3 linked regions of the Diceros bicornis minor genome follow. The protein of the gene in region 3 purifies or fractionates together with the protein of the main gene of each other region. This does not show direct contact. Links are inferred from orthologs where the notes say so. Each region holds a gene or a part of one and is shown on either strand. Other genes may lie near its edges.

The links.
Region 1: the proteins of PRPF19 (region 3) and SNRNP70 fractionate together in Homo sapiens (co-fractionation; 3 studies listed by BioGRID, with this or other methods). This does not show direct contact. The link is inferred for Diceros bicornis minor from reciprocal best matches to the Homo sapiens genes PRPF19 and SNRNP70.
Region 2: the proteins of PRPF19 (region 3) and CTNNBL1 purify together in Homo sapiens (affinity purification with mass spectrometry; 4 studies listed by BioGRID and IntAct, counting the BioPlex papers as one, with this or other methods). This does not show direct contact. The link is inferred for Diceros bicornis minor from reciprocal best matches to the Homo sapiens genes PRPF19 and CTNNBL1.

What each region holds. Positions count from the first base shown.
Region 1 is NC_080773.1:24,584,526-24,592,387, reverse strand, and holds the start of SNRNP70 (U1 small nuclear ribonucleoprotein 70 kDa), read right to left. Parts: upstream 3,009-7,862; 5' UTR 2,811-3,008; intron 2,074-2,810; 5' UTR 2,064-2,073; coding exon 1,917-2,063; intron 1-1,916. UniProt on the Homo sapiens protein: Component of the spliceosomal U1 snRNP, which is essential for recognition of the pre-mRNA 5' splice-site and the subsequent assembly of the spliceosome. SNRNP70 binds to the loop I region of U1-snRNA.
Region 2 is NC_080758.1:22,437,104-22,444,760, reverse strand, and holds the start of CTNNBL1 (beta-catenin-like protein 1), read left to right. Parts: upstream 1-4,649; 5' UTR 4,650-4,731; coding exon 4,732-4,761; intron 4,762-7,657. UniProt on the Homo sapiens protein: Component of the PRP19-CDC5L complex that forms an integral part of the spliceosome and is required for activating pre-mRNA splicing.
Region 3 is NC_080770.1:12,513,862-12,521,291, forward strand, and holds the start of PRPF19 (pre-mRNA-processing factor 19), read left to right. Parts: upstream 1-4,427; 5' UTR 4,428-4,600; coding exon 4,601-4,619; intron 4,620-6,321; coding exon 6,322-6,471; intron 6,472-6,654; coding exon 6,655-6,731; intron 6,732-7,430. UniProt on the Homo sapiens protein: Ubiquitin-protein ligase which is a core component of several complexes mainly involved pre-mRNA splicing and DNA repair. Required for pre-mRNA splicing as component of the spliceosome.

The sequences.
Region 1 (7,862 bases), on a different chromosome or scaffold from region 3:
GGGAAACGGCCAGGGACACCCATCTGGGAAGTAATAAGCAATTCAGCCACACACACACCCCCCCTACACACAAGTAAACAAACAGGGACAGCTCCCAGGCCAGTGGAGGCAGGGGAGTGGTGCAGATCAAAGTGCGGTCCTTGCACCAATGCCATCTGCAAACTGGTAACGGTCCGTGACACGAAAAGTAAAGAAATCGTAAGTATTCAGAAACTTCTACAACAATCTGACGGGGTAGCTTTATGCCCACTGAATTTAATAATAAAAACTCAATCTTTTATTTTACAATCTTTCTTTAAAAACACTAGAAAAAAGAAAATAATTCTTTTGTGTTTATCGAAAGCACAATCTGCAATGGATCTCTCTTTATCACAGAGAGGAATCGGGACCAGGCCTGAAGCAAAAGGAGCTGACGGTGCGGTGCCCAGAAGCAAACAACTGAACGCTCTCTGAGGGGCGGACACTTCTTTTTTTTTTTAATTTTTGTCAGGAAGATCAGCCCTGAGCTAACATCTATTGCCAATCCTCCTCCTTTTTTTTTTCCCCCCAAAGCCCCAGTAGATAGTTGTATGTCATAGCTGCAGATCCTTCTAGTTGCTGTATGTGGGACGTGGCCTCAGCATGGCCGGAGAAGCGGTGCGTCGGTGCGCGCCCGGGATCCGAACTCAGGCCGCCAGTAGCGGAGCGCGCGCACTCAACCACTAAGGCACCGGGCCGGCCCCGGGGATTTCCTGAGGGTCTCACCAACCACTCATTAAGGAGTAAATGGCACATGACCTGGGTCATCAAAGAGTGCCACTGACCTGCAGCCACTAAATTAGTTTAACTGGCTAGTGACATTTCCCCAGTACCAGCTCACTGAGGGCGGCAAATCCCACTAAAGAGCCAACCTTCTGTTATCTTGCTACTAACTTCTGCTCTGCCACTTCCTCCGCCTCCAGCCGCCCTTTCCCACTCGATGCCAGAACTTTCCTCTGCTGGCTGCATGCCAGCATTTCTCAGGTGCGCTCTGATGCACCTTAAGAGACGGATGTTGTTATCCCAATTTTACTAATGAGAAAACTGAGGCCCAGGAACCTAAGTCATGTGTTCGTGTTTACCCTGCAGGTGCAGAGCTCAAGTTCTCAAGCCCATGGTCTTAAGCACCCCATCGCACCGTGCTAACCCTTTACGAACGCCACAAAGATGATAAATACACTAACACACGTTGACATTTGCTGACTGTTTGGTGCCAGGCCCCATAACATAAATTTTGCAGTTAATTCCCCATCAATGTTATGAAGAAAATTCTATTATCCCCTCACTAAAGATGAAGAAATTTTTTTTTTTGTGAGGAAGATCAGCCCTGAGCTAACATCTGTGCTAATCCTCCTCTTTTTGCTGAGAAAGACCAGCTCTGAGCTAACATCTATTGCCAGTCCTCCCCCGCCCCCCGCCAAAGCCCCAGTAGATAGTTGTACGTCATAGTTGCACGTCCTTCTGGTTGCTGTATGTGGGAAGCGGCCTCAGCATGGCCGGAGAAGCGGTGCCTCGGTGAGCGCCCGGGGTTCCGAACCCGGGCCGCAAGTAGCGGAGCGCGCGCACTTAACCGCTAAGCCACGGGGCCGGCCCAAGATGAAGAAATTGATGCACAAGAGTATACACCACTTGCCCAAGGTCACACAGCTGATAAATGGCGTGTGCCAAAGACTACCTGCCTTCAGAGCCCGAATCCCCCACTGCTAGTCACTGAATTTTCACAAAAACCCTACAAGGGATGTACTATCAACCCCATTTAAGAGAGGAAAACTGAAGATCACGAAGAGCAAGTCACCTGCCTAAACCACACAGCTGGAACACAGCCAGAGACTGGACTCCAAATCCAGGCCCCTGGCCCCTAAAACCCAAACCACCCCAAGTCTGCTCAGCAAACTCACCTCAAACTCCCGGATGTAAGGCGCGATGCCACAGTAAGGTTGATTGTGGTGTTTTTCATGTGGCAGTTTCTCCAGCGGCGGCAGGTACGGGATGGGGTCACGGGGGGCAAAGAGGGCCAGGAGGTTGGGCGGCAGGAACTGGGTCATCTTGCCAAGTCTGAGGGCCAAAGCAAGACAGCCTTGTGTGGGGGTGGGCGGGTGGAGAGGCAGCCCCTACAATCCCTTGACTCCCCGAAAAAGAGGGAAATGGGGCAGGATCTCAGCCAGGGCTCAGAGTGACCCTATGTCACAGGGCCAAGGAGTAAACCCGAAGGAGAAAGCAAGTTCTTCGGGAAGGCTGCGTGAGGGCAGGGCAAGGCCGGTAAGGCAAACAAGGACGGAAAAAGGGTTTCTGAGCAAAGTCTGAGTCCCAAGCAAGGAACTGTGAGGCCGAGAGGTTCCCTGGGGGTTTGTGGGGGAATCAAGGATCCTGACGAGGGAGATCCACAGCAGTGGCGGCTGGGGGTCCCATACCTTGGAGAACAGGTTATGAGGCAGGGGGCACAGGAAGCCTCCAATCAAAAAGACAGGGTCCTAAGCAGCAAACCTCTCAAGTAACGGCTTGTGGCTAATACATCTAGGACCCCAGAGACGAAAGGAATTATGGGTAAGGGTCCAGGATGCCGCGAAAGAGAAGGAAAAAAAAGGCAACACACCGCAAGGGCCTGTGGGTAAGGGACCGCGGGGGAGCCATGGCAAGAGGGCCTGAGTGCCCAGGGGACTGTGGGTAAGGGATGCAGAAAGGTGCTCTGGCGGTGGCGCGGGACGGGGACCCGGCCGCGGGGAAGGGACTGGGGCCCACCGCAGGGGCTTGTGGGTAGTGGCCCCGCACCCGGTAAGGCCAGTCACACTCACCCGCCGCGCGGCGCCCTCCTCGGCCTGGCGACGGTCCGGGGGCTCGCAGCGGCTGCGGCGGCCCCTCAGCAGCACGAACTCCTACTCTGTCTTCTACTCCGGCGGGGTCCACGTCCCTCCGCCTCCGTCACCCACTGAGCGCGCGAACCAGGCCGCTGCTCACGAGCCCGCGCGGCCTCGGCTCGCGACAGGGGCAAGGGGTGGAACCGGTCTCAAATCCCTCCGCCGGCCGCACTGCGCACGCGCCGCGCGAGTCGAGACCAGCCCACACACACGGACCTGGCGCCGCCGCGGGCACTGCGCACGCGCGAGGTCACCACCCCGCCTTCGTGCACCTTAAACTCCTTTGCCGCGGCAGGCTGGAGGCCGCAGTGCGCACGCGCGCTTCTCACCAAGCCTTCCCCTTCGACCTCGCGCTCGCGGCTCCAACCGCCGGTGTCCGCGAGACTCTTCTCGATGCTCCGCCCCTCCCCTTAACACACTTCCCGGATCTTGCGCGCATGCGTGTTTCGTCTATACCGTAATAGACCCTTCCGCCACCTGGCAAAGAGTCCCTACGTGAATAGTGTGGCCGAGTTGATGTCTAACCTATTAAATCGACAACTATTAAGCAAGCGCGCTGTTTGGTCTCTGGGGACATAGCACGTGACTAAAGCAAAGTCTTTTTCTTCTTGGAGCTTGCATTGTACTGAGGGAGACAATAAAGTCATTTAAAAAGATAAATATAATTTCGGATAGTGGTCTGCGCAATAAAGAAAAATAGGGCGGAGTAAGAGGGTGGGCAGTGAGAGCGGGGTAATTTAAAAAGGGCGAAGATGGAAGGTACTTCTGAAGAGGTGACATTTGCACAAAGGCCAGATGGAAGGGAGATCTGGGCAGGGTTAACAGCAAGTGTAAAGGGCCTGGTTTAGGACGGATGGCAGGAACCTCATGTCATTTGCCCTGAGATTAGAGTCAGCAGCCATGCTATTTAGGGCCCTGTAGACCCATCAGGAGTTAAGTATTGTATTTTAAGTTTTTTGGATAGGTTCAATTGCCTGTTTAATAATAATTACAGAAATTATTACAAAATGTAAATGACTAATTTCGTGTTTCAAGAAACATATAAAAGGACATTTTCAAAAATATTTTGACATTTGCTTTATTTGTGTATGCATGTGGGAACTCTCTGCTCCATTTTTGGAGGTTTTTTGTAATTCTAAATTTATTTCAAAATAAAAAATTTAAAGAAAATAAACAAAACTAAACCTGCCTTCGTAATGTGTTTTTTTTTGGTCTACCATTGGAAAGTAAATTGCAGCATTTCACCTCTAAATGCTTCAGCATGTATCTCCTAAGAATAAGGACATTCTGCTACATAACCACAAAATTATTTTCATCTCTAAGAAAGTTTAGCCTCTATTCAGGTTTTCCCAACTGACCAAGAATATTTTGTTTTAATCTGAACCAGGAGCCAATCAAATTTCACCCATTGCCGTTACTTGTCATGTCTCTTTAGTCTCTTTTAATATAGAGTAGACACACATATGCACACACCCACACACTTTTTTTTTCCCGTTGTGTTGTTGATTTTTCCCAGAGTTCAACCCCGTTTCCAGTAGAATGTCCCACATTCTGAGTTTGTCTGATGGTTTCCTCCTGGTGGTTACTTTGTTGCACTACCCTTGTTTTCCCTGTAAAATGGAAGTTGAGTCTGAAGGTTTGAATCCACTGAAGTTAAGCATTTTTGGCAAGAACATTTCCCTGGTAATACTGCAGACATCGTATTGCATTACATCTGGAGGTGCGTAATGTCAGATGGTCCCACCATTATGATGCCGAGTTTGGTCGCCTGGTCAAGGAGCTAACTGCCAGATCTCTTTTTGTAAAGGTACATGTTCCCCTTGGTAATCTGAGCAGTTAGACTTTGCCACCATGCAAATATTCTGTTCCCCAACCATCTCTCACCTCATGATTGTAGCAGCCATTGCTGATCCTTGCCTGAATCAAGTATTACGTGGAGAGGGCAGGTGTTATTTGAAATGAAATAGGAAGTAACTAAAGGGTTTTGATCAGGAGACGGACATAACCTGATTTACATTTTTAAAAGGTCCCTTCAATGGCTGTGGACAGAAAAAGTTCAGGGAAGGGATTGAAGGGGAAACAGGGAGATGGTGAGGGGCCACCCAGTGGCATAGTGGTTAAGTTCATGCGCTCTGCTTCTGTGGCCCGGGGGTTCGCAGGTTCGAATCCTGGGCGCAGACCTAAGCAGCGTTTACTCAAGCCATGCTGTGGCAGGCGTCCCACGTAATATAGAGGAAGATGGGCATGGATGTTAGCCCAGGGCTAATCTTCCTCAGCAAGAGGAGGAGGATTGGCAACAGATGTTAACTCAGGGCTAATCTTCCTCACACACACACACACAAAAAAACAGGGAGATGGTGAGGAGGCTACAATTTCCAGGGAAGAGATGGTGGCCTGCACCCAGATGGTAGCAGTGGAATGGAAAGGAGTGGTGGGATTCAGGATATATCGTGAAGGCAGAGCTCACTTATTCAGTTGCTATAGGAGTGGAACTAGAGTGTATGGGAAAGGGAGAAGTTAAAAATAACTCCTAGCGGAAATGAAGGAGACAACTAAAAGCAAGGTGGGATCCTAGATTCGATTCTGAACAAGAAAAAGAACATTAGTGGAAAACTGGTGAAATTCAAATGAGGTCTGAAGTATTATTGGTTAATAGCATTATACCAGTGTTAATTTCCTGACATGTAATTGTACTATGGTTATATAAGAAGTGGACATTGGCAGAAGCTGGGTGAAGGATATATGGGAACTCTGTAGTATTTTTGCAACGTTTCTGTGTCTGAAATTATTTCAAAATAACATGTTTAAAGAAAAAAATTTTAAATGAAGCTAATCTTTCCTTAATAATAATAATAATGATAATAAACCCCACTCCTAGATTTGTAGACTGAGCAGCTAGGTGAATGATGGTGCCACTGATTTAGGGAATGAGGACGTAGGGAAGAGTGGGATTATTAAGGAGGAGTTCTGGGTTTGGACATCTCAGAGATGTCTTTTTGACACTCAAGTGGCGCTGTGGAGTGGAAAGTTGGAATATATGCCAATCACGGAAGAGTTGGGGCTGGAAACCTAATTTGGGAGTCACTGGAGTAGAGATGGTACTTCATGCGACTGAATGAACTCATCTAGGAGATGAGAGAAGACGGAGAAGGGAAGAAGTCTGAGGACTGAGTCCCAAGGCCCTTCATCATTTAAAGTTCAGATAAAACAGGAAGAGCCAGCAAAGGACGCTGAGTAGGAGTAATTGCGAATGTAAAGGAAAACCAGGAGAGTCAGGTGTCCAGGAAGCCAAGAAGGAAAGTGCTTCAGCAAAGAGGCCATATTCAATGTGTGCAATGCTGCTGAGAAATGCACAAAGGTAAGAACTGAGGTCTGGCAACCAGAGGTGACCTGACAAGACAAGGGGAGAGGCAGTGGACACTTCAGATCAGGAAAAGTCTTTAGAGAAGTTTTGCTACAGAGGGAGCAGAGAGGGCTGGCCTAGTAGCATAGAGGTTAAGTTCGAGTGCTCTGCTTCAGCGGCAGGGGGTTCACAGGTTTGGATCCCAGGCGCAGACCAATGCGCTGCTTGTCAAGCCATGCTGTGGCAGCATCCCATAAGGTAGAGGAAGATGGGCACGGATGTTAGCTCATGGCTAATCTTTCTCACAAAAAAAAACGGGGGTGGGGTGGGTAGAGCAGTGAGAGGTGTTAACGGCAGGATAAGGAAGTGGAGTAAAGGAAGGAATTTTTTTTTTGGTGAGGAAGATTGGCCCTGAGCTAACATGTGTGCCCATCTTCCTCTGTTGTGTATGTGGGACATGCCACAGCATGGCTTGATGAGTGGTGGTTAGGTCCGCGCCCGAGATCTGAACCTACGAACCCCAGGCCACTGAAGTGGAGTGCATGAATTTAACCACTACGCCACCAGGCTGGCCCCAGTTTTTTTTTTTTTTTTTTAAGATAGAAAGTCTTATGACACAATTGTCTGCTGATGGCCAAAAAAAGTTAAGCATAGATTTATCATACAACCCAGAAAGCCCACTCTTAGCTACTTATTCAAGAGACCTGAAAACTTATGTTCACACAAAAGCATGTATATGGATTTTTATAGCAGCTTTATTCATAATCGCCATAAACAAAATGTAACTCAAATGTCCTTCACATACAGTGAATATAGAAACAAAGGGCCTACGTCATGACTTGGAATACCGCTGAGTGTTAAGAAGGAAAGAACTACTGATACGCACAACAACACGAATGAATCTTCAGTGCATTATGCTAAAGAAGCAAAAGAAGCCAGATTCAAAAGGCTACGTACTGGACGATTTCATTGATTTGACATTCTGGGAAAAGCAAAACCACAGAGACGGAGGGAGAGAAAACAGAGCAGTACTTTCCACCACCTGGAAGTCGGGGAAGAGGCTGACTACAAAGGGAAGGTGAGAACTCTGCGGGGTGAGGGAGCTGTTCTATGTTTTGATTGTAGTGGCAGTTCCATGACTGTATTCATTTGCCAAAATTCATAGAAGCATATGCCATAAAGGGTAAATTTTAGGGGCCGGCCCAGTGGCATAAGCAGTTAAGTGTGCGTGCTCCGCTGCGGCGGCCGGGGGTTTGCCGGTTCGGATCCTGGGCGCGCACCGACGCACCGCTTGTCAAGCCATGCTGTGGCGGTGTCCCATACAAAGTGGAGGAAGGTGGGCATGGATGTTAGCCCACGGCCAGTCTTCCTCAAAAAAAAAAAAGAGAGAGGAGGATTGGCAGATGTTAGCTCAGGGCTGATCTTCCTCACAAGAAAAAAAAAAGGTAAATTTTATTGTATGTAAATTAAACCTCCATATACTTGACTGAACAAAACAGGTGGCTCCCCCAAATATTCTTTCATTACAAAGGGAAAAAATAAAAACTTTACAGTGGAGAAACCCAGCAGACACTACCCTCACCAAGTGATCAAAGTTAATATCACTCATGATAAAACATATCAGCCTCATGGGCCCCAATATGATG
Region 2 (7,657 bases), on a different chromosome or scaffold from region 3:
CAGATCCCTACTGTGAAATGCATAGTCAGACAGGCTTGGATTGGAGTATTGCCAGTTACTAATTCTAGGACTGTGGGCAAGTAACCAAACTCTCTACATTTCAGTTTTCACAATTATATAAAAATATTAGATTAGAGAGGATCCAAGGACCTGAATTTTGGGAATGAGAGGCAGAGGGAGCAGGGAGGGACTCCTCCTGAACCCCGGGCGCATTCTTCTTCTCAGAAAAACATATCTCTCTTTCCACTGCCCACTCTGTAACTCTTCAGTGCCTAAATGGAGGAGTCAGGAGTTCTTCGGTGCTGTCATATGTTTCTAATCAGCCCACGATTGCAGTGTAGGAGCTCAATATTGGTGATAAATATACTTTATGAGTGTTTTTTTGAGGATATATTCTTAAAGGCTGTTCCAATAAATAATTTACTGGGGCAATGAAAGATGCAGGAAGTGACTCTGATTACATCTTGGAGCACCTAAAGCTTGAAGTTTAAGGAAGCTAGGCAGCCCACAGCTATTTAAAAATTTCCTGGAAGGGATAATTCTTCCACATTACATTCTTTACAAAGGTTACAGCCCAGCAGCTGATCTCTTGGGTGGTGCCCTTCTCCCATCTCCCTTGTGGATGCCACTCTGAAATCATCGTTGTCGCAGGTTTTTGGACTGCTTGGTGCATTGCACAAGCTCTTCTGAGCTTCCATTTCCTCATCTTTAAAATTGGAATAGCATATTGTCAGGATTTGTGGTAGGGCTTTGAAGATATTTGATAGTATTATGGCCAGGAGTGAATGAATCAATCAGTAGATTGATTGGCTCATTTATTAAATCACCAACTATTCGGTTAGTGCCAATTAAGGTCTAGGCACTGTGTTAGGTTCTGAGGTTATTGTGATGAACAATACAGCAATCTCTGGCCTTCTGGAGCTTAGAATACAAAGGGAAAACAGACTCCAAAAGAGTAAAAAGCAAATCAATATAGAAACACAAATCACATGTGTTCTGAAGATAATAGTCAGGAACACTGGTAGAGAATCTTGAGCAGAGGGGAGGGACTGTCTTAGATCTCACAGTCAGGGAAGGCTCCTCTGATGTGGTGACATTAAGCTGAGACCTGAAGGGTGAGTGCTCCAAGACTTCTCTCTAGGGAGGTTCCCAAGGAATTATTAATGGGCCCTCTCAACAAGATAAAGTTGAAATATCTTAATATGATATTCAAGATCCTCTATGATCAGGATTGCCAGATAAAATACAGGATGCCTAGTTAAATTTGAATTTCAGATAAACAACACAAAGTTTTTAATATGTTACTAAATATTGCATGGAGCAGATAGTAAAAAAAATTTGAAGTTTATCTGAAATTCAGATTTAACTGGGTATCTTGTATTTTTATTTGCTAAATCTGGCAACCCTATCCATGATGTTCCCTGGCCCCCCTCTCCTGCCCTACTTCCCACCATTCCCTGCACACACCTTATGCCCTGTCTATAAGAGATAGTCCAACTTCCATGTCTTTGGGCGTGTTGTTCCCTCTGCCTGGGTCACCAGACTCCCACCATGTCTTCTTGGGAAACTCTTCTCATCCCTTAAACCCTAGTCCAAATGGCACCTCCAGCACGTTATCCCCATTCCAGGGTGTCACCAAACCTGGTTCGCATAGGGTTTTGCCTTATGATTCTATGTTTTAAGGTCTGGTCTCTAAAAATACACAGAGAAGATTGAATGCCTTCAATACTCTTGAAAGGAAGGGGTATAAGGAATGACCTTGTCCCTCCTGCCTCCCCCACCCCATCATCCTCACACAACTCCTCATAGTATTAACATCAAATATTGATGGAGCACTTTTCTGTGCTGGGTACCCTGCTAAGGGCTTTGTATACAGCATCTCACGTAAACTTCCCAAAGTCTTATAAGGTAAATTCCATTGAATCTCCACTTTGCAGGCAAGGCAATCAGGCACACAGAGGTGATGTCGCTTGCCTCAGTTTCCACATCTGTAAAATGAGGATCATAACAATGTCTCCCTCATGAGGGTTTCTCTCCAACTAGAGTGTAGGTTCCAAGAGGGCAGGAACTTTCTTTTTAAATAAACCTCTGTATCCTCAGAGCCCAGGGTTGTGTCTGGCATTGAGTAGGCACTCAATAAATACTGTTGAATGCATGAATGAACCACCTTACAGATAAGGAAACTGCAGCTTAGAAAGAGAAAGTAACTTGCTCACAGGTAGATGTGGTGAGACTTTGACTAGAACCAGAATCAATGGTGTACTGGTAAACGTTTACCAACCCCGATTTGTAGCACTTGTTGATTTCCATAATGTAAATACTTCCACCATGGCCAACTTCAAGCAACCAACCTGATGTCAATCTGCTTGCAAATTTCCTGAAAATTTAACCATAGGCACTTGCAAGCTCCAGCATACCCCTTACTAGAACAAAGTTCTAAAGGGTACATGGTTCCAAAGGGTACACTCTCACCATTACTCTGTTCAGCCTCCCTGAACAGGGCACAGTCTACACTCACAGCTAAGTAGGAAGAGAAAAGACACCTGAAAAACTCAGTTCAAAGCAGATTGTGTAGGTGATCCTTAAAAAACATAAATCCAATCACTAAACGCCCCTGCTTAAAACCTTTCAATATCTTCCTGATGCTCCTACCATGAAATTTAGTCTCCTTATCATGACCCACAAGGCCCATTGTGAAACCTCCCCCTGTGCCAGGCACTGTACAAGGCTTTTGTACTGGGATATAATGATGAACGTGACCTCCACAATCCCTCCTCTCATGGAGCCTGCCTGCAGTAAATGAGGCTGTCAATAAACAAGTAATTAACCATTAAGAACAAAATGACAGATGGAGATATATGTGCAGTAAAGGAAGTGCTAGGAAAGAGAATAATGAGAAGGGGCTGCTTACCTGAACTGAGGGATAGTTGAGGAAGGCTACTCTAAGAAAGTGACATTTGAAACCCGAAGGATGAGAAAGAGTTGGATGAGGTGTGGGGCTAGTGGCCAGGCAGAAGAAGAGAGGATTTGGCACTTTGAGGAACAAAAATAATTTCTGTATATTTGGAGACTGTGGAGATGGAGAAGGTGATTATAAATACTGCTATGGTCTGAATGTTTGTGTCCCCCCAAATTCATGTGTTTAAATGAAGTGGAGCTTTTGAGAGATGATTGGGTTATAAGGGCAGAGCCCTTATGAATGGGATTAGTGCCTTTTTTTTTTTTTTTGCTGGGAAAGATTGCCCTGAGCTAACATCTGTTGTCAATCTTTCTCTTTTTTTTTTTTTTCTTTTCTTTCCTCCCCAAGGCCTCAGCACATAGTTGTATATTCTAGTTGTAAGTCCTTCTAGATCTTCCATGTGAGCTGCCACAGCATGGCCACTGACAGACGAGTGGTGAGATTCAGTGCTTGGGAACCGAACCCGGGCCACAGAAGCAGGGCGCAACAACTCTAAATGCTAGGCCATCAGGGCTGGTTGGATTAGCATCTTTTTAAAAGAGGCAGGAGAGCTCCCTCACCCCGGACACCACATGAGGACACAGTGAGAAGGTACCATCTATGAACCACAGACCAGACCCTCACCAGACAACAAATCTGCCAGCGCCTTGATTTTGGACTTCCCAGCTTCCAGAACTGTGAGAAATAAATTTCTGTTGTTTATAAGCCACCCAGTGTATGGTATTTTTGCCATAGGAGCCTGAATGGACTAAGACAAATATTATGAACGTGAAGGGCAGGAGGCTAAAGGCTCAGGCGACTAAGGAAGAGGCTTAACACCCTTTTAAGATGGAGTCTTATTTAAATCCCAGGAGTTCAGATGCACTCTGAATGATTCTCTTCCAGTGATGGGCAACTCTCTCCTACAGAAAACTTTTTTATATCACTTGGGTAGAAACAAGATCATCCAGTTCCCACCCCGCCTTGCATACATGAATAAACAGAAGCCAGAGAGGGAAATGTGATCACCAACAGTTTCTCAGACAGTAACAGTTGCACGGACTTGGACAATACACTTTCTGAGCCAGACCTGTCCAATAGAAATTTAACAGGAGCCGTGAAGACAGCCACATATGTAATTTACATTTTCTACTAACCACATTTAAGAAGTAAAAAGAAACGGGTGAAATTAATTTTATATATTTTTTGACCCAATATATCCAAAATATCATTTCAACATGTAATCATTAGAAGTTTTAGAAACCGGGTGTGTATTTTAGTTACACTTATGGCACGTTTCAAACATGACCTAGCCATCTTTCAGACCCTCAGTAGCCACATGGGTATAGCGGCTATAGTACTGGACAGTGCAGTTCTATGCCTCAGTTTCCTTATCTGTGAAACGAGGATAAAGTTGCCTAGGTCACTGGAAGGACTGTGAGGGCACACGTGAAACACCCAGCACTCCACCCCGCGCTCGCGCCAATAAAGCTTGGGTCCTTTGGGTCTTTTCTTTCACCGCACCGCCCTCCTTCAAGTCTCCGCCCCTTTCCCCGCCCCCTTCAGGCTCAGGGCGGAAGCGGTACTGTCGCAAATGCGGCGCGCTTTACGGTGGCGCTGCCTTTTACCGCAGTGTGGCCGACTCGCGCGTCGCGCGCACTTTTACCTCATTGGCTCTGCGGCTCGGCTCACGGCGCTTTACGGCAGTGTGGCTGGAGCCGCTGGTGAGGGGTCCCCTGTTTGGGCGTGAGTAGAGGGAAGCGGAGTAGCAGGTGTTGGCTAGGCCGGGAACCATGGACGTGGGTGAACTTCTGAGCTACCAGGTATGAGGGACGAGGAGGGCCAGAGGACCGTCCGCTCACCCGGGCATCTCACCTCCTCTCCCCTCCGTCCCGGGCCCTCTCTTTTCTCGTGGCACCGGGGTCCGAGCCTCTCATTTCACTTCCCTCCCTTGAGACTCGCTTGGGTCCTTTCAGTTCGTTCCTTCTCAAGGTGCGAGCCCCTTCTTTTCAGCTGCAGTGTGGGCCCCTTCTCACCCCACCCTGGGGCCTGGTTCCCTTCAGCTTTCTGAAGGCCCCAGACTATCTTCGCAACCATCCCTCTTTAGCCCTCTTACCCCTAGTCGTTGAGTTTGTGGTGGTGGTGGGAGAGCCCTGGACCCCCAGCTTCTCCCCTGACTGGCCATGTGGCTTTGGGACAAGTCATTTCACCCTCTTTGAGCCTGAGTTTCTTTATATATAAAACGGAGGCAGTAATAACTACCTAGTGGAGTTGTTTGAGGACTATATCAACTAATGGATGTGATAGCCGATTTTAAAGTGTAGAAAGCTGTACCCCTGTTAACTGCAGTTGTTGGGAGATGTTTGGAATTCTAACATGGGATAGGTCTCTAGGAATCTTTGTCCCTCTTGCTCAGGATACTTGTAGGGAAACAGTAGCCCACAGGGCAGAAAGGACTTGTCCAAAGTTACTCAACAAGTAAGAGCTGAGATTAGAGCTGAGGTCTCCTGGCTTCCAGCTCAAAGTTCCCCCACTCTTTTGACTTCCTAAGGAGGCTCCTTGTGAGAGGCAGTAGAGCTGTGTTGTCCAATATGGTACCCAGTAGCCATATATGGCTATTCAACACTTGAAATGGGACTAGTCTGAATTGAGAAGTACTCTAAATGTAGAATCACACTGGATTTTGAAGACTCAGTGTGAAAAAAGTAAAACTTTCTTGTTGGTTACATGATCATATTGATCATATCAGGTACCATGATTATTGATCATATTGATTAGATAATCTTAGTATGGGTAATGGGTTAAGTAAAATACATTTAAAATAAATTTTACCTGTTTCTGTGACTTTTTAAGCTAGCCTTTTGCTGTGGCTACTGCTGGCCTTATATTTCTGTTGGACAGCTCTGCAGTAGAGAGTAGGTAATGAAGAGCCATGAGTCTGGAGCCCCATGTTGCTCAGAATCTCTATTTTGCTGCTGACTGGCTTCTGTGACCTTGAACAAAACACTTAACCTCTCTGTGCCTTGGTTTCCTCATCTGTAAATGTGGGCAATGATGGTACCTACCACATAAGTCTGTTGTTAACAGCTGTCGTGAACTGTAAAGTGCTTAGGCCGATGCTTGTCAAAGAGTAAACGTTCAATAAATGTTGCCAGTTATATTCATGCCACTTCCTCAGCCAATATACAAAGAACTGACCTTAGAAACTCTAGACATCATGGGAATGAACTTGTAAGCAATGGGAGATATATAGCCAAGAGATGTCTCTTTTTAAGACAATAATTGAAGGTGAAAGAAGAAAATAGGGGGTTGTTGAATGAGTGGTTGTATACCTGTTTGGGAGTTGTAGAATGACTAGCACGTTGACTCGTAGAATATTAAAGCTAGAAGAGGTTCATTCATTTGCTCAACAAATATTTATTGAACACCTACTGTGCAAGGCACTGTATCTACTGAATATACAACATTGAGCAAAACAGACAGAGTTCTTGCTTTTGTGGAGCTTATAGTCTGGTGGGGAAGTTACAAGATAATAAGTCAGTAAACAAACCAGAAATTCAGATTGTGATAAGCACTTTGAAGGGTATGCAGAATATACTATGCTGTGCTGTTTGGTGTGGTAGCCACTGGGCACAGGTGACTATTGAACACCTGAAATGTGGCTAGTTCAAATTGATATCTGCTGTATGTGCAAAATACCTGCTATATGTGCAAAATACACACTGGATTTCCAAGATTTAGTATGAAAAAAATGAATGTAAAAAATATTAATAATTTTTATATTGATTCCATGCCGAAATGATAATACTAGGATATATTGGCTTAAAGTAAATAGATTATTAAAGTTAATGTCACTTTCTTAAAAACTTTTTTAATGTGGCTACTAGAAAATTTAAAGTTACATATGTGGCTCATTTGTGGCTTTCCATGTATTTTCATTGGACAGCACTGCTAAAGAAAATAACCCCTGGGAATGCGAGGCAGGACCTATTACTTTAACTAGTATGGTCTGGGAAGGACTCTGAGGAATGGACATTAAAGGATTGAAGGTTGAAAGGAGCCAGTCATGTGAAAAGGGCAGAATGATCTGGGCAGACAGAATAGCAAATACATAGGCTGTGAGGTAGAGGCTGGGGCAGCCTGTTAGAGGATCAGAAGGAGGACTGATGTAGCTGGAACATGGTGAGTGGGTGGGGGAGTGGTAGGTGATGAAGTTGGAGATGTAGGCAGATGACAGGCTATGTAGGCCTTCCTGTGGGCCATGATAAGGAGTTTGAATTTTATTTTGAGAGATGTTATAGATAAGCTCGTTTACAGATGAAAAGTGAACTCCATTCTGGGAGAGGGACTTCCCTGAGGTTGTGGGCCAAGGGAGTGGCAGAGTTGAAACCAGAATCCTGATCTTCTTATTTCTGCCCTGTTCATTTCCCACATGCACTGTTCATGCAGTTTCCTTTCTGTAAGATCCATGTCCACTCTTCCTGTTCCTAAAAGATGGTACAGTCTGGAATCTAGTCCATAATCAGTCAACTGCACCCATCCTCCTGTGGAAAGTTATGAGGATCATCTGAGTTAATGGATGCAAAAGCTCTTTGAAAACAGTAACATTTTATAGATGTGAAAGATGCATTACCTACCTGCATCATCTCTCTAAATCCTTATAACAACCCTATGAGGAAAGGTACTGTTTTTAATCTCAATTATAAACATGAGGGAACT
Region 3 (7,430 bases):
CTTTGTGATTCTAGGCATCCCGCTTCATCTCTCTGGGTCTCAGTTATTTCAACTTTACTATAAAGTATTATAAAGTTCTAAAAATACCATTTCGCTCCACTGTAGGTGTGGAGATTCATGAAATAACGAGAGTGAACATTTTAAAAAAACATCCAAGATGCTTTGGGAATGCTTTGATCACATTGACTGCCATAGGGAGGCTGCCCCTTTGATGTTAAAACAGTTCCTGAAACCCAACACTCTAAAGCGGAACTCTTTTGTCCCCCGCTTCCTGAATCAGCCTTCTAATTCTGCCTTCTTCCCAGACTACACACTCTAGTAGCATCCAGTCTGTCACCTCTTCCAGTTGTTCCTTTCCTTCAGATGTTTCTCAGACACATCCATCCTCCTCTGGACCCTCATCACTTCCTGCATCAGCGAAGGGTCTCTGTTCCAGAACAGGCTCTGGTAGCATTCTGAGCCTCACTTTCCAGTCTTTCTAACAGTTGCAACTTTACATTTGCTTGTGAGATTTGTGATTTGTAGAACTACCAATCTCAAATCACAGACTTCCCTGTGCAAGAAACATAATTTTCTTTTTTTCCTATAAGGAGTTCATTTCTGTTCAACTCTGTTTTCCATCTAAGTGTTGTAGAAACAATCTCAGATAGTTCAGGGTTCTTCCTCAGATAGTTCAGGGTTCTTCCTACCCTTGATTTTCAGCTTGTACACACTTTTTGGAAAATTAATTAGGGCCAAGGTTGTGGGGGTGGGAATTCATTGAATCCTCAGTGTCAGTTGTTTGAGCTATATCGTCCTGCCTGATCCTCCGTCACTTGTCCACACAGGTTGCCATTTAATCTTCCTGGGAAACAGAGCTTCTTCTGGGTTATTGGCCAATGTGTCCCCTTGCTTCCCAAGCAGCAGCAGCCTTGGCGGGGGGGAGAAGGGCATAGAGTTCCTTTCTTGGGGACCCACCAACAGCTATCCCCTATGTCTCCTTTCCCAGCCTAGGGAATCTTTATCTCTTCTAGGGGGAGACTGGGAGAAATCTGAGATTGAGGTTTTTTTTTGTGTGTGTGTGAGGAAGATCAGCCCTGAGCTAACATCCATGCTAATCCTCCTCTTTTTGCTGAGGAAGACTGGCTGTGAGCTAACATCTATTGCCAATCCTCCTCCTTTTTTTTTTCCCCAAAGCCCCAGTAGATAGTTGTATGTCATAGTTGCACATCCTTCTAGTTGCTGTATGTGGGACGCGGCCTCAGCATCGGGTGCGTGCCTGGGATCCGAACCCGGTGCCGCCAGTAGCAGAGCGCGCGCACTTAACCACTAAGCCGCGGGGCTGGCCCTGGCTTGAGATTGAGTTCTTACCTGTTTAATATTTACTCCAAAATCAGTCGCCCTGAATCCTTTCTATTCCATGAGGGGCTGGCTTTGAAACTCAGAAGGCTTGAAAGGACTCCCTTTTTCCTCCATTCTTCTGTCACAGCCATAAGCTCCCCAGTATAGGGACTCCTCTGGTTTTGCTCACAGTGGAATCCCCAATGCCTAGTACAGTGCCTTACTGGCACACAATGGGCACTCAATAAATATTTGTCCAATAAATGAACCACTGCATCTCTCTCCTTCCAGTCTGTCCTCCAACCCATCCAGTGAGTGTCTTCCAGAGGAATCTTCTGGATGTGTGGTTATCTCTCCATAGCTCAACTGCTCTTCTGCTGCCAGCCCAATCAAGTCTAACCACCTCTGCTTCAAGGCTCCACGTAAATGGATCCATTTTATTTCCTACCATGTCCAAGTACGGAAGACGCCTGGCCTGTCAGGCAGCCTGTCATCCAACCAACAATAGTTATGAAGTTCCTGCTATGTGTCAGGCACCATGTTAGACTCTCAGAAACAACAGTGGCTAGAACAACTATGGTTCTGCCATCATGGAGTTTACAGTTGAATGGAGAACCCAGACATCGAACAGATACTTGTAAATAATTAAATGATTCTAGTTATCCAGAGTGGCCCAGAGGAGAATTACAGCGTGCTGTGGGGACCAAACTTCAGTCAGGGGTCAAGAAAAACGCGCCAGAGGAAGTGCCATTTAAGGCGAGACTGGTGTTTACATTGGAGGGGATGGGAGGGGAGGAGAAGAAAAGAGGGAGTTGGGGAAAGTGTTCCAGACAAAAATACTGGAACCAGCCAGAGTGGGTAAGTTTGAGGACTTAAAAGGCCAGTATGGCAGGAGAGAAGTTGAGGTGAGACTGTGAGGGTCAGAATGGGCCAGATGGTGCAGGACGTGGGGGTGAGTTTCCTCTGCCAGAACCACTCTCCCTCATTCAGGTCTCAGCAAAAGTGTCACCTCCTCGGAGATGCCCTCCCTGAATATCCTGCCTAAAATAGTCCATCCCTCTGATCCATCCTATCCACCTTACTCTGATTTGTTTTATTCTTAGCACTTACTCTCTGGAATTTTCTTCTTATGTGCTGATTGTCTATGCTGCCCCACCCCCCAAACCCAATGTAAGCACCAAGAGAGCAGAAACCTTGTCTTTCTTGTTCATCATTTGTATCTCCAGTTATCAGAACACGGCCTGGCACCTAGGAGGCACCCAACCAGTATTTGCTGAATGAATGAAAAGCCTGGGGAGTATCGGGAATAGAGTTTTCATTGAAAGTAGATCACTGGCTCTTCTGAGGAAAGTGGATTAGAAGGGGGCCAGGCTGGGATCAAGAAGACCAATTAGGATGCTATTTTATTGGTGCAGGGGAGAGATGATAGTAGTTTGGACAATCTTGCTTGGCTTTAGGGATAATGATAACAAACATGAATATTTATATTGTACTTACTATGTGTCAGGCTTAGTTCAAAGCATTTTTTTAAACATTAACTCCTCACAACAACCCTGTGAGTTAATTCAACCCTTGTTATCACTCCCTCCATTTTACAGATGAGGAAATTAAGGCAGAGAAGTTCACACAGCTTACTAGCTGAGTGGAGCTGGGGTTAGAACACAATCCGACTTTAGAGTCCACGCCTTTGGCCACTATGCTGTCTGCCTTTCATACCTGCAACTTTTCTTCTTCTCTCCAAGCTTTTGCTTATGCTGTACCTGCTCTTGAGCTGCCCTCTAGTCTCCTTCTCTTCTATCTGAATATTGCCCATCTGTCAAAGTCCAGCTCGTTCACACCTCTCCAGTGAAGAAGACTTCACTGACCACACCTGTCTCTCCTGCTGCTTTGTCTGGATCCCACACCACATGTTCTGTACATGATTCCTGAAAGTATCTTATCTTTGTCGACGTAAATAATCCGTAATCAATCTATAAATCAAAATTGGGGTGGGTTTATTACGAGCCAACTTTTGAGGACCATAGCCTGGGACCTTCCTTCCCCAAGGAAGGAGGGGCACCAGAGAAGTGGGGTGTACAGAGCAGTTATATACTGTCAAAGAGCACATATCACATATGATTGCAATGTCCCTTTTACAATAGCCACAAGATCGCCGTGTCAGATTGCCCTGCCAGAATAGCTATTGATGGACACAGAGCGTGGCAGGTCTGCTGTCTCGATGGGCGTGGCTGGATGCAGGTCTGTTCTCAAGTTGGGTGGTCACAGGATGAGTGCAGCAATCAAATCCTAGCCTAAGGAGAAATGCTTATCCTTAAGGAAATGCCAATGTGGGGGACGTTGCATCCTTATCTTAAGGACATTTACTCTTCTCTTTGGGACATGGTAAAGCAGATACACAATGCATGTTTAATGGTGACAGGCCCTTTTGGGAAAACAAACTCAGGCCTAATTAGTTTTACACCAAATGGCTTCCTCATATGCTCCAATATATCCTATTGCTTGCCATTTATTTATCACTTATAGATATCCACAAAGAATCCCACACGATCTGAGCTGGAAAGGACCTAGAAGCCATGTAGGAAAGGGGCAGAGAAGCTGATGACTTGCCCAAGATCACAGAGCAAATTGGTAGTAAACGCAGGACCAGAACAGTTTCTTGACCCGTGTTAGTTTCTCTACCTGTCTGCATCTGTACTTTCTTCACCGTGTCACCCAGCAGTGTCCCTGGGTAGTCCGAGAAACACCTGTCTCAGAATCACATGGGGCATGCACTGAAAATGCAGACTTTCCAAGGCAGGCCCAGGAATACGCATTTTAACAAGTTCGTTAGTAAATTCTCACGCACACCAAAGACTGCAAGACTCCGTACGATCCCATGGCCCGGCAGAGGGCCAGTCTCAGAAAAGCGTTGCTGCATTGCTTTGGCTTTAAATTCCAACTGCATCATGGGAAATGTAGTTTCGGCTCGCCTCTCCCCTCGCCGCGGGACCGCTTTACGGAAGGAGCCGAGTCAGTCCGGAAATAGACGAGTGCTCCCTGGCGGGCCCTTTCCTGCACGGTTGCATTCTGGGAAAGGGCAGTTTCCGTTAGGTGCTGGAGGCTGAGGCGCGCGACCGGCCGCAGTCCCACGTGAAGCGCGACGCGAGCATCGCTCGGCGGGTCGCTCCCCGCTCGCCGCGGAGCGTTCCGGAAGCCGCCGGGAACCGGAAGTGGCCCGCGGCGGCTCAGAAGCTAATCCCGGAGCTCGGTGCGAGGCGCCTCGGAGCGCGGCGACGGCGCCATGTCCCTGATCTGCTCGAGTGAGTATCGGCGGCGGCCGATCGCGGGTCGCAGGAGGCCGGAGAGCCGAGCGGGAGGATCTGGGGTCGGGGCGGAGGTGAAAGCAGGGCTCCCGGGAGGCCGGGCGGCGGCCTGTCAGCACGGGGGTCCTTCTCCTCCCCCTCAGCTGGGGGTGCGTTTGCGCAGCGCTTCACAGTTTACGTAACGCCTCAAGTTTATGGTCGCAGGCATCCCTGGGGCCAGCCACCTCGTTTACGTAGTGGGGACTGGGGCCTGGACGGGGGGAGCTGGTGCAGGAATCGGGGAACCCGAAGGCTGGTGCAGGAGCCGCCTCAGATTGGCTTTGTGACCTGGCTTAAGCCTCTGGGCCTCAGTTACCCCATTTGCAAAATGAGGGCTTTGCACTGGATGTTGTCTGAGGTCCCGCCCTGGAGTCAGAGCTTCTGCAGATTGCCAAGGTCACGCAGTGAGATGGAGGCAGTGACAGGGCTGGAAGCCAGGTCTCCGGCTCCCAACCTCATCTTGCACGACTAATAAAAACAGCGTGCATTTATGAAGCCTTTATTGGTTTACAACGCACTTCCAAGTCGGTGATCTCATTTTATCCTCCCAAGAATTCTCCAAAGCAGGAATAAAGGTCCCGGCCGGGTTTACAGATGAGGGTGTAAGGCTCCAGGAGAGTGTGGCTTATCTAAAGCTGCACAGCTAGTAATTGGCAGAGCTGGGTGATGGAGCTGGGTTCTCTGACCCTGAATCCGTGCTTTTTTCATGCCTTGTACTGTCTTTCCTTTTGGTATTTTATTGTGGCATAGAGATGTTTTCCGTTATTGTTTCATCCCGTGACTGGTCTCTCATCCTTTTCTCTATTTGCGTCCTAATTGTCAAGCCCTTGACTCTTCTCAGAACCTCTCCATAAATCAAAAAAAAGGGAGGGAATAAGGAAGGAAGGAAAATGATGTCTAGAAAGAGGAACCTTCACATTGAAAAAATTACAGGTTGCACAGTATTGTCCCATTCATTGTTTCTTTTGTATCTTGAAGAACCTCTCTTCTGTGTTCCCCACCACCATCCTTCCTCTCATTCGCTCATGTTAGATGTTAACCCAGTGCCTGCTGGGCATCTGCATTGTCCTGGAAGTCAGAGACCAGCTGTAATCCCTATGCTCAGGGGTGCACAGTCTACTGAGGCAGGCGTGTAAATGATACCTCTGTTGGGGGTTGTGGTGAGGATGAATTAAATCTCTGGAAAGTGTTTCCAATCGTGCTTGGTACCTAGTAAACACCATGTAAATGTTTTTTATTCTTATAGCACTTGTCATATTGCTTTGTAATTTCTTTGTCTAATAATCCATCTAGGCTCTAGACTGAGATTTGAGTGGCTTCATGTGTATCTCCATGTCCTGGAGTATAAGGAGTGACTAAGCATCTTTGTTCAAAAACAAGATGGGCAGGGTTATTGACTGCTCTTTAGGTGTCTCGTACGTAGTTGTTGTGCAATAATTACTTGTTGACTATCTGAGTGTCAGGAGACTGATGGAGAAGCCAGTTATGTAGCTGGAAAGCATTCTGGAGACAGGACAAAACTGGCTTGGTGTCATGTCTTGATTCCTGTGAGTTGAGTGTGGGGATGCATGGTCTTGTGGGGGCCAGTAGTGAGTGAGGCATCTCTTTGGCCCAAGGTCCCTTTCACCACCCCTGCTCACTGCCTGCCTTTTCTCTGCAGTCTCCAATGAAGTGCCAGAGCACCCGTGCGTGTCCCCTGTCTCTCACCATGTCTACGAGCGGCGGCTCATTGAGAAGTATATTGCAGAGAATGGCACAGACCCCATCAACAACCAGCCTCTGTCCGAGGAGCAGCTCATCGACATCAAAGGTGCCCAGTGGCTGGCCTCAGTCCAGGGCCATCTTAGCTCAGAGCCTGAGAGGGTGGGAGGTGGTACCAGTGCACTGGAGGAGGAGATGGTTGTGTGTTAATGCAGGCTAAAGAGAAAAGAGTGGTGGAGAGGAAGAGTCCCCGGGTTATGGATCTTCATACCTGCTTTCCCTCTCTTGGCAGTTGCTCACCCCATCCGGCCCAAACCTCCCTCAGCTACCAGCATCCCAGCCATTCTGAAAGCCTTGCAGGATGAGTGGGTGAGTCCCTGGATGAGAATTGATGTCTTCCCTACTCGAAGAGAATGGATCACTGGACTAGAACTAGGGGGTGGGAGGGATGGAGCATTAGTTTCTTTTTTGAGGGGTAGGATGATAGCAGAGGAGGAGCCCGGTTGTTGAAATCACACAGATCTGGGTTTCACGCATAGCTCCATTGCTCCCTTACCGTGTGACCTTGGTCATGTGCCTCATATCCCAGTCTTGATTTTCCTGACTGTGTGACATGGATTAGTGCCCACCTCTTAGGGTGTTGGGAGAATCAGAATAAGATTAGAGTATAAACTTTGTGACGTCAGGGACTTGTTTTATTCATCAATATGTCCTCAGCACGAGAGCAGCGCCTGGTACATAGTAGGTGCTCTAAAATATGAATAAATGAATGCATACATCTTGAGGGACTGTCTGGGACAGTGCCTGACACAATGAGGACATTCAATAAATAGCAGCAGAGGCATTATTATTCCCTTTTGGTGAGGTGACAGCATGCCATCTGAGGTTTGCTGGTAAATTAAAGACGAGGGGGATGGAAAAGAGTTGGCTCCCACTCCTGTCTGTGTGCCTGGTGTTTGGCGTGAGCTAGGAGCTCGGGAGTGGCTGCCAGCACTGGCATTCAGGGTCACTCAGATGCTGCCTGCATCACTGATACTGGTCTAGGCTGTGGCATAGGAGGCAGTGTCC